3 linked regions of the Saccharomyces cerevisiae S288C genome follow. The protein of the gene in region 2 purifies or fractionates together with the protein of the main gene of each other region. This does not show direct contact. Each region holds a gene or a part of one and is shown on either strand. Other genes may lie near its edges.

What was found.
Region 1: the proteins of KTR3 (region 2) and SVP26 purify together in Saccharomyces cerevisiae (affinity purification with western blotting; 5 studies listed by BioGRID). This does not show direct contact.
Region 3: the proteins of KTR3 (region 2) and ERV41 purify together in Saccharomyces cerevisiae (affinity purification with western blotting; 2 studies listed by BioGRID, with this or other methods). This does not show direct contact.

What each region holds. Positions count from the first base shown.
Region 1 is NC_001140.6:465,200-468,521, reverse strand, and holds SVP26 (Svp26p), read right to left. Parts: upstream 1,295-3,322; coding exon 608-1,294; downstream 1-607. Other genes in the region: RGD3 (Rgd3p), read right to left, coding at 1-303; YHR180W (uncharacterized protein), read right to left, coding at 2,853-3,322. UniProt on the Saccharomyces cerevisiae protein: Plays a role in retention of a subset of membrane proteins in the early Golgi compartments. Facilitates endoplasmic reticulum to Golgi transport of mannosyltransferases MNN2 and MNN5.
Region 2 is NC_001134.8:631,902-635,385, reverse strand, and holds KTR3 (mannosyltransferase KTR3), read right to left. Parts: upstream 1,765-3,484; coding exon 550-1,764; downstream 1-549. Other genes in the region: FTH1 (Fth1p), read right to left, coding at 1-240; LDH1 (triacylglycerol lipase), read left to right, coding at 2,005-3,132; COS111 (Cos111p), read right to left, coding at 3,444-3,484. UniProt on the Saccharomyces cerevisiae protein: Possible glycosyltransferase that transfers an alpha-D-mannosyl residue from GDP-mannose into lipid-linked oligosaccharide, forming an alpha-(1->2)-D-mannosyl-D-mannose linkage.
Region 3 is NC_001145.3:138,430-141,968, forward strand, and holds ERV41 (Erv41p), read right to left. Parts: upstream 1,786-3,539; coding exon 1,755-1,785; intron 1,662-1,754; coding exon 634-1,661; downstream 1-633. Other genes in the region: ITT1 (RBR-type E3 ubiquitin transferase), read left to right, coding at 1-515; SMA2 (Sma2p), read right to left, coding at 1,995-3,104. UniProt on the Saccharomyces cerevisiae protein: Constituent of COPII-coated endoplasmic reticulum-derived transport vesicles. Required for efficient transport of a subset of secretory proteins to the Golgi. The C-terminal Ile-Leu motif is required for exit from the endoplasmic reticulum.

The sequences.
Region 1 (3,322 bases), on a different chromosome or scaffold from region 2:
TTTGCTCATCACTTCCAGCAGCCTGCTATTCATTGAATTGGTTGCTTCCATTTTTTGTAAATTGTTCAATGTTGGTTTCCAAAATTTGTTGACAAAATCATTGTAAAATTTGATGTCTTTAATCAGCAAATCATTTTCTCTCTTCATATGTTTTATGAATAATTTGATACCTGTTGTATAGTCTTTGGTCCAATATGTGTTCCTTAGTGAAATTTTAACTGAGTCGCAATCAATGGAGAGTTGCCTCGAATTCTGTAATTCATCACCAATAATATCTTCTTCGTTATGCTCTTTAACAGACATAACTAGAGACCGAAAGAAAATGCTCTCTTTCTCTTGCCTTTGTCTATGTAATGACAATACTTAATCTACTGGGCCTGACTGGTTTTTTGTTTACTAGTTGCTCTAAAAAATGCAAACGTCAATAAAAAAGAAAAATATGGAAAAGAAAATATACTTTCCCGTATTAACTTGGGTAAAATATAGTAGTATTGTATTGGTGATTTTTCTTTCCTGTGCAAAATAGTTGGCAGAGCATTACACATATTTCTTATTTAGAATATTCAAATAAAGAAAAACTAACTACATGTTAAAAAAAAAGGCAATCCTAAACAGCCAATCTATCAAAGTCAGGTTCTATCTCATAACCGAATACACGGGCTAGAGAGTAGATGTACTTCCTTACCGAGTTGATGACTACACGAGCTAACCCAACAGCCCTTTTACGAAATTTTGGCTGGTTGTTCGTTGTGATGTCATCATTTTTCTTAGCCATATGTTGCTCACTAGTCGTTGGTAGCACATAATCACCAGCTGACAGAGAAACAAATAAGGCAAATGGTATGAACCAAACGCATATACCAAAAAATGAGGCTACTTCAGCGAAACTAGCACGTCTGCGTGGTATATAATTTGGATCAAATTTGAACTGTGGGGGAACTTCCGTATCATTAAAATATTTGAACCAGAAGTAGTGATTCAAGACCACACATACGCAGCTTAATAGGAAAGTTGGGCTGGTTAACGAAATAAATGGGAAACTTTTTAAGTTTTGGTAATATACTATGTAACATGCAATGGAAAAAAGTGTAAGTTTGAACGGGAAACCGTCTAGTAACAGTAGCAGAATTAATATTAATATTATACCATAAATAGCCCTTGTGAGAAACCGTCTTGTGGGTTCTGTGTGTTCTTCAACAAGTTCACTAATGTAGTATAAACCCGATGCAATTGAAAGTGTTAAAAAAAGAAACCCTGAAACGGTTCCTGCATAAGAAATCAATTCTAACAGCATGGTTTTATTCTAACAATTTCTTTTCTCCCTTTTGCTCTTTTTCTCACTTGTCAACTATATGTTTTTAGTTTTAATTTTCACATTGACCATTCAACCTTTAAAAAATCATAAAGTTATAAATGATAGAGAAATAAGAACAAAGGGAAAAAAAATAATACCGGTATAATGCCACCTGCCAGAATTGAACTAGCGACCTTTGCATTACAAGTGCAACGCTCTACCACTAAGCTAAGGAGGCTAAAAATACAACTATGTTGTATCTCAAAATAAGATACGTCAGTATGACAATACGTCATCCCAAACGTTCATAAAACACACATAACAAACGAATAGAATGAGTAACATAACTGTTGGAATGCGAGAATGAGATATTTGTGAATTTTGAGATAATTTGTGGGAATCCATTGTTCACAAAGACAATAATATTAGGTATATAGAATATGCTAGAAGTTCTCCTAGAGGATATAGGAATCCTCAAAATGGAATCGATATTTCTACATGATAATATTAGGATTATTCCTCATTCCGTTTTATATGTTTCATTATCCCATTACATTATCAATCCTTGCACTTCAGCGTCCATTAAGTTCGATGACTGTGTCCCAATCCTATGTCATCTTCTTACACCGCATGTAATAATATAATAGTAATATGACTACTATAAATAGATGACATTTTAGAGTTTCATGTCTTCATAAATGTTTGGCAGGAAGTTTGAAAAGATGGAACGTGCTGCTGCTGATGTAAGGGTCTGAATAAAACCGGATGTCTTGGCAATCCTAATGTCGCTAGGATAGTTGCTTGTCTTTCCAACAAAAGATATAATTCACAAATATTTCTCTGTGCTCCGCATATATTTGGCTTGATGTTTTAAATAGTTTGTGAGTAGTAATTCAATACAAATACTATCAAGCTTTAAGATTCATTATTTCACCAAAATAATCAGTTTTTGTTTTATATGAGGTTGAGTGTCTCAGCTAACTTATGATAAGCTATCTTTAACATGACAAACGGGATGTGATATTTGTTGTCTTGGCTCCAGATCAGCAGTTGTACTAATCTTGCTTACACTGAGCGTGTTCTATGCATTATCTTTAACACTCTTGTACGTCTTGTTTACCATACTTTGCCATATCCTTGTTCTTAAGAAAGGAATTTTGATCTAACATCTCTGAAATCGTGGCACCGTCTAGTAAAATATTAGACACTACTAACGTTACTAAGGAATAAGGTACAACAATTAAAGTCGCTAGTTCGTGAGATTAAAATCTGTTACATATTCTTAGATTGAGAGTTAACGCTGCATATTTCTCTTTGGTGATGAATTAGTCATAAATTGCATTTGCGTCACTCATTATTGTGCTTCTGTGTGAGAGTATTTTAGGAATTTATATATATATATATATATATATATATATATATATAGTATACTGGCTCCCGAGCCAGATGAGGGGGTATGAGGTTTCGACGCTTAAGGTATTATCTGAATCACAGTCGCATACACTAGTTGACCCTCAGTACAGAGATTCCCACGATTAACGGGCTGAACGGGTCCTGACTAATGTAGTTTTGAGTTCACCTGTTGGTGCAGTATTGTTATCGGCACTGGCACTGGTACTGGCACGGGTGTTTGGAAAAACTCTGTAGCATTCAATGGAGAGATTACTACATGAGTGGCGATCCAACGCGAGACATAATCTGTATTAGCTTCATAACCATACTCTGTCAGTAAGGAGCCATAGTCGACATCTGTAACATTCCTAGTAGTGCCAACTGTACCCGGCATGATATTATCTCTGACATCCCCAAAATACACAGCTGTACCATTTATTAAGTGGTAGATTGAGGGAGAGTCTATTCCACCAAGATAGAATCCGTTTCTTTCGAGAAAAATGACTTCATTAAAATTAAGTCCTGCTGGAATGTTAGTGAAGAATCTCAAAGGATTAGTAAGATCAACATCAGGGAGGGAACTATTGTTGATCGAGGTAGCAGCTAGGTTGAAGAATGTAGCAATAAATGCAACGA
Region 2 (3,484 bases):
AATAGCATTACCGTCTGAAGGCCCTGCTTGTAAGAAGGCAGTGGTCGAATCTGCGTTTGTGTTCGTATTTGGACTTGGAAGACCAGCAGAAGAGGAACTTCCTTCAAACGGGCTGTCGTCCTCAACAGACAGACCTTGTTTGACGATCGTCAACAGGATAGAAACAATGACAACAATTTCTAAGGATTCCCTTAAGAAAATGAAGAATATCTGGAAAGAAAAATAATCCTCAAACGCCATGGTGACTAGAAATATGAACACCACTCTAGTTCTCTATTCTTAGAGTTTTTTCGCTTTTCTGTAGAGGACAAAAGTTCAGTAAGATGCTTGATTCTTTATAATATCAAGTTTGTGTTTTTGTAGGCTGGTTTAGATACAATTTTGCTTTTCTCTCTTCATCTCCGGCCGCACCGCACCCATTTTTGAACCCAAGAAGGCACTAGAATAAAGTGAGGTGGCTACTACATTGAATTATGTGTATATAGATAGATACATGTTGACGTTTTAGCACCTGTTTTGACGGAGCAGGCGCTATTTGTAGTTTGGTTTTTAAATTCCTGGTGGAAGCTTGTAATTTCCTGCTGAAAAGTACTTTCTAGTACAGAAGTAGTCAGGAGTCCAGGTGACGTCCTTGCTAGGTTCGCAGATACACTTGTTTTGTAGTCTAATCTTCTGTTCGATAGGACAAGAGGTGAAATCTGGATGATGGAATCCAAGACCGTCAAAGAAATGGATTTCTGACTTGTCCAAGAACAAAGAGGCAGCGATGGAGTGCACTGGCGCATCCCCCCATCTTTCGTAGAAGAATCCACCAGAACTGTCTAAGTAATCAAAGTATTCTCTGTATGCATCGGACCTGAAGAAGTCTAAAGAGCCGATTTCGAAGTTGGTCCAGAAATGACACATATTATAAGTGTCACCATCATCATTCGAAATGAATTTCATGAGGTTATTTTTGTGTAAGAATTTAGGATTTTTCTTGATGAATTTCTTTGTCGTTTCCCACAAGGTTGGGATTGTGCGCTCATATTCACTTACCGAAAGAATGAATCCATATTTCTTGTTATTTACTTTTAAAAACTTGAATATGTCATACTGAATATCACAGAATAAAGTGATATCGGTATCCACTCTCCAAAACCATTCGTACTCCTCCAGTAGTGGGTGTCTCCATATGAACCCTGACTGGAAACGGCACATGTGACGGTAAGGCACGGAACTACCATATGGAATATCCAATTTTCCCATTGCAAGCCTTTTCTCATCGAATTTTTCAGTATCGATCCAAGATGGAATGGACCAATGGTCCTTTGGGATTGTCCCATATTTTGCCTTGCCTGAAACCAATGCACTGGTAACACGTTTAAACTCATCACTAAATGGTTGGTCATTCAAGAACACCCAATCGTAGTGATATCTGTTATTGAACCTGTCTTCAACATGTCTAATAGATTTTACCAAGTTCCATAAATCTGAATTCCTGGCCAATGTGACCATAACACCCTTTTCCTTCTTTCCATCGTCCACGGGATGGATTACTCCTTGTGACTTGTCAGTAAACGGCATCAAATAATCCTTACTGGCTACACGACTGACACTGGTGCCCTGAGCTATTGGTACCTCTGGGGACCTTGAGCCACTCATGAAAAATAAAAAGGATAACACTATGATGAGCCCAATGAATGATGATCTGATTCCCTTTTGGTATTTTCTAATCAGCAATGCCGATTTGGGCATTAGCTTCTTTTTGTGGTGCACAGACATAATTGCACGCTGGATATTGATAGTGTTGTTGTCCGCAGACGAGGCCTGACCTTCTTTATGCAAATTTTAACCATCAGTTACGTTGTTTTCTTCGAAAAGTTTCAAGAGGACGCGCCATTCTTTTAACCCGGCAATTTTAAAGGGTTCATTAATAAAGAACTACCAAGATGGTACAGTCGCATTTGGATCGTAACTCAACGTTAGAAGAAAGCCTTAAACCGAGAACTTTTTCTCTTGGTAATGAATATGGCAGAACGTGCAGAAGCAACAAAAAGTTGGTCCTGTGAGCCCCTTTCTGGAAAGACGCTAGAAGAGATTGTTCAAAATGCAGAAAATGCAGCTGATTTGGTAGCTTACATTCGCAAACCAGAGGTAGATTTGGACTTTAGGTTGAAGTTTATCGCAGAACATGAGGAGTTTTTTAATGTACAACTATCGGATCGAAATTCAAGAATAAGGACGTGTCACAACTTGAGCGATAAAGGGATACGGGGTGATACTGTTTTCGTCTTCGTGCCTGGGTTGGCTGGCAACTTAGAACAATTTGAACCCTTACTCGAGCTTGTGGACTCTGATCAAAAGGCATTTTTGACGTTAGATCTGCCCGGCTTTGGTCATAGTTCAGAATGGAGCGACTACCCCATGCTGAAAGTGGTGGAACTTATTTTCGTTCTTGTATGTGACGTCTTAAGAAAATGGTCTACAGCGGTGCCGAATAATGATAACGTAAATCCATTTAACGGTCATAAGATAGTGCTTGTAGGGCATTCTATGGGTTGTTTTCTGGCATGTCATCTTTACGAGCAGCACATGGCTGATACAAAAGCGGTACAAACGCTAGTTTTGTTGACGCCCCCCAAAGCACATATCGAGCAGCTTTCTAAGGATAAACATATTATCCAGTGGGCTCTCTATGGTGTGTTTAAATTGCCATGGCTATTTGACGTTTATAGAAACAAATTCGATCAGGTAAAAGGTCTACAAAGTTCCGGCATCAAGCAGTATTTTTATCAACAAGGTGATGATGTCAAGTTGAAATACAGGAAGTTCTGGCAATTTAAAAACAACATAAGCAACAAAAGTAGAACCATCATAGGTTATTTACTAGGATGGGAAACTGTTGATTGGGTTAAATTCAATGGTGTATTGACGCAAACGGATATGAAACAGAAAATTATAATATTTGGCGCTGAAAAAGATCCTATAGCTCCTATTGAAAATTTGGAATTTTACAAACAAACTATAAATAAAGAATGTCTTCGTAAAGTGATTATTTTACCTGACTGTTCTCATAATTTATGCTTCGACCGTCCAGAATTGGTGTGTGAAAACTTTCAACGAGAGGTGATTGATAATTCCAAATTGTAGAAGGTTTTCTAGATTTCACATTGCGTAACTAGATTTTCGTGCACACTGCTACATGAATTGATAAAACAAACCAGAAAAAGTAACTAAGACCAATATTTTCAAATTTTTCATAGTATACTTTATATCGTACATCTTACAAGCAAAAATCAAAGGTAGTGTCTATGTATGCAAAAAAATAGGAAACGAAAAATAAATATAAATAAATAAAGCCATGAAATGTAGAAAGGCTATGCAAAAAAGAAAAAAATAAACATCAATAATATTTGGCCAAATAAATTAACAGAACGTATGCTGTTAAAAGAGAGCAGTCGTTATATGATGCTTTCAGCATAGTAGTTATTTTCGCCAACAT
Region 3 (3,539 bases), on a different chromosome or scaffold from region 2:
GTGTGACTTGTCGAAGATGTGATAGTTGGTGCACAAAAGAAGACCTCGATGATGCGATGATTCAGTGTCAAAAATGTCATTTTGTATTTTGCTTTGACTGCTTGCATGCCTGGCATGGTTACAACAATAAATGTGGCAAGAAAGTTTCGTTATCGACCGATATTATTGAGGAATATCTAGATGATACCGTTACTTCATATGAGAGAAAGCGGAAACTGGAGGCAAAATATGGGAGAAGAGTATTAGAACTTGAAGTCAATGATTACCTTGCTGAAAAAATGTTAGATTTAGCGATTAAAAAAGAGGGTTCGAATTTGCAGCGATGTCCAAAGTGTAAGGTAGTTGTAGAAAGAAGTGAAGGTTGCAATAAAATGAAATGCGAAGTATGCGGGACGCTGTTCTGTTTTATATGCGGAGTATTACTTTATCCTGAGGACCCTTATGAACATTTTAGAGAAGCATATTCAGGCTGTTATGGACGATTGTTTGAAGGTATGCCTGGCACAGAAACTTGAGTGCGATCGCTCTGCCTTCAGTCTCACACTTTTTCTTATAATCTATTGTCATGAAATTTATACAGATGAAAATGAAACGTTATCTTGGGTATACTGCATTCTCTTTTCTTTTACATATCTACCTATCTAAAATACCCTTAGTTTTATCATCTGGCTGATAACGCAAGGACCACTTAGGTCCCATGATGGTGATAAGAGCCATATCCAGTAGTGTGAAAATCCACGAAGCACAGTAGACCAAAAATGAGCAGATTGCCACTAATCTGACCAAAAACTGTATAAAGCTTAAACGAACATCAGAAACTACTATGGATAATGGTTCGAAATTGTATTTGAAGAAGATGCCCGGCATTTTATCACCTTTAGCAGCGACATCTTTGTACAAATAGCGGTAATCGTTAACAGAATATTGATTAGTATCCACTTCTGCCCCCAATTTCTTGAAAAGAGTGGGCACAACAGATGTGTAATAGACGTAAGTAGTTAAAGGTTCATCCTGATTAAACTGTGCAGTGTTATCCAATGGGTTATCAATATATGGATAGAAATCACCAAAAGAGAACTCATTAATAACATGATTAAATTTTAATTCTTCCAGTGGTGCTTTGCGTGAAGCCACGTAACCTAAACTCTTCGCTGTAATCTGCAATTCGCCACTAACTCTATTTACCGGAATGGACCCAAATACATGGCACCCATTGAATTCCGGAAGATGTGCCTTGTTAGGATCACTTTCATCAAAAAATGACCTAGTATCTAGTTTTTCTCTAAATTCTGCTGGGATAGCTTCCCCTAAGATTTCATCCAATTCCGGCGTAATAATTTCATTGATATCATTGACTTTTGTGTCATAAGGAATAAAGAATGGCATCTCTTCCAATTGCAATTCCTCTAATACAAGTTTCCGATCCATTGTTTGGTCTCTGACGTTGATTTGCAACCAATCACATTTCGTGTTGACGTATATATCCATATTAATTTGAACGGTATCTCTAACTTGACTGTCCACTACGTACTGCTGGTCAATATAACCACCGAAGTATTCACCAAACTCGGTCCATGCTATAAACAACAGAAACAGATATGTCAACAAAGATGTTAAGCCACCCTTGGTGGATTTCTTCTTGTACTGTTCTTCAGTTTTTGCTGTAAAGTTAAATTTCCATTGTTAGTGAAAAAGCAAAAGCAAAAATAAAATATGCTGAAGCGGGCTACTTCAGAAAAATCCATATAACATACGAAACGCATCAAATGTCTTCAATCCTGCCATTATATACTCCTGAAGTCTCTGCCTGTACGTTACAGCAAAAGCATTTTGGAGGAACGCTTTTCTCAGTAAGAATAGAACATTGATAATATCTTTTCAAAGCCTTGACCGAGCGGGAAAAAAGGACGTTATGCAAAAATACTTAATATACTGAAAGGCTGTGTATATGTTTACATATTTACTGTCATTTGAAAAAAAAGTTCTGTGGTGAATTACTTCTCCATCAAGTCTGGAGAAGGGGAGTTAGATGTGTCTTCTGTATACTTATCAGACTTTTTGGGCTTAGCTTTGTAATGATTTGCTGCAAGAAATGCGAGTACCAATAGGACCCACTGGATGGCATACCTGGCGAGCCCCATAATGAACCCACTTCCCACGTTTACTTTTAACAGTTCCCAGCCTGTAGTGTGTACAGCAGCGTTGTCAGATCCTACGTCTGTTACCTCTTCAGGTTCTAATGTTTTCAGTGCAATCAAATATACGATGTTACATAATATTGTCAATGTAGCAATAACAACTAATATTGAACTTGATGACTTCAAAAGCATAGGAAATAAGCGGTGTCGTTTCCCAACACTAAGTGCTCCCCCAAAGGCTGACACTACGCAGATACTGAGGAATCCGACTATTATTTCCAACACTGCAAAGTAAAAAACCATGCCGTTGAACATCATCAGTATAAATGCCAGGTTGACGCCTTTCAGATAGTTTTTTGTTGGTGACACGCCTTTTACATTTGGATCAGGACTGCCAATCAAAGCCTTTGATAGGGCATTTCCTGTGTGCTTGTCGTGTTTCAAAAAATCACGAATAGATGTCAATGCCAAACGGTAGGTCAATACGAGAGAGTCTCCGAATTTTTTGGTTTCATTCGATCGTGTAGTGGAAATGTTACCTAATTGAATCCCGACGTCTCTGACAAGTACTTCAAGTACGTCCATGCCATAATTCTCATTAGAGGTACAATAAACTTTGCTTTTATTACTCCGTTTACAAAATCCAAAATAATTGAGCTCAAAAACCTTATCAGGCTGAAATGTGTCCACCAAATTTTCATCCTCATACACACTTGGATCAGTGAATTCATTCGACCAACCCATGTCAATTGTCAGGTACGAAATCAATCGCAGAAATTCTCTTACACTTGCAATAAACTCATTTGCAGTACTGGATCCTCCAATCACAGTTATAGTAAACTGTGGAGCGCATAACCTAAGTCCCTTAGAGTTCGTACATGTTGTGGCTGGCAGGTAGAGGACAAATTGTGATAAACTTAAAATCAATAGAACACCCCACACAATCAGACGTTTAGGGAATAACATGCTCGCCCTTTTATATTATGACAGAAAGAATATATATATTCATATATAACATGCTTCTATTTATTAGTTTTATCTTTTAATTGATGGATGTGTCCATAGAATTTAAGTAAGTGCATGGTATGGAGTGTATAATGGTTTATAATTTCCCCTAAGATGACACAAAAAAATGTTCTCCCAAAAATTTACCAAGAAAAAAAATTAAGAATACTACACAATTGATGCTTGGGTTATTTTAAATATCCGGTACATTCTATTACAAATATGTTTGTACAATGTAAGCCCCTTCATAATGGTCAGTATTAAGATAAGGACTGCTATGGGGCATTTTTTGTCTTACTGGGTATCACAGGATAATAACTTGGCGCCAAATTAGAAAAGATATAAACCTCAAATATTTGAAATTCTTTGGTGACCTGTCTCATCGTTATATCAACA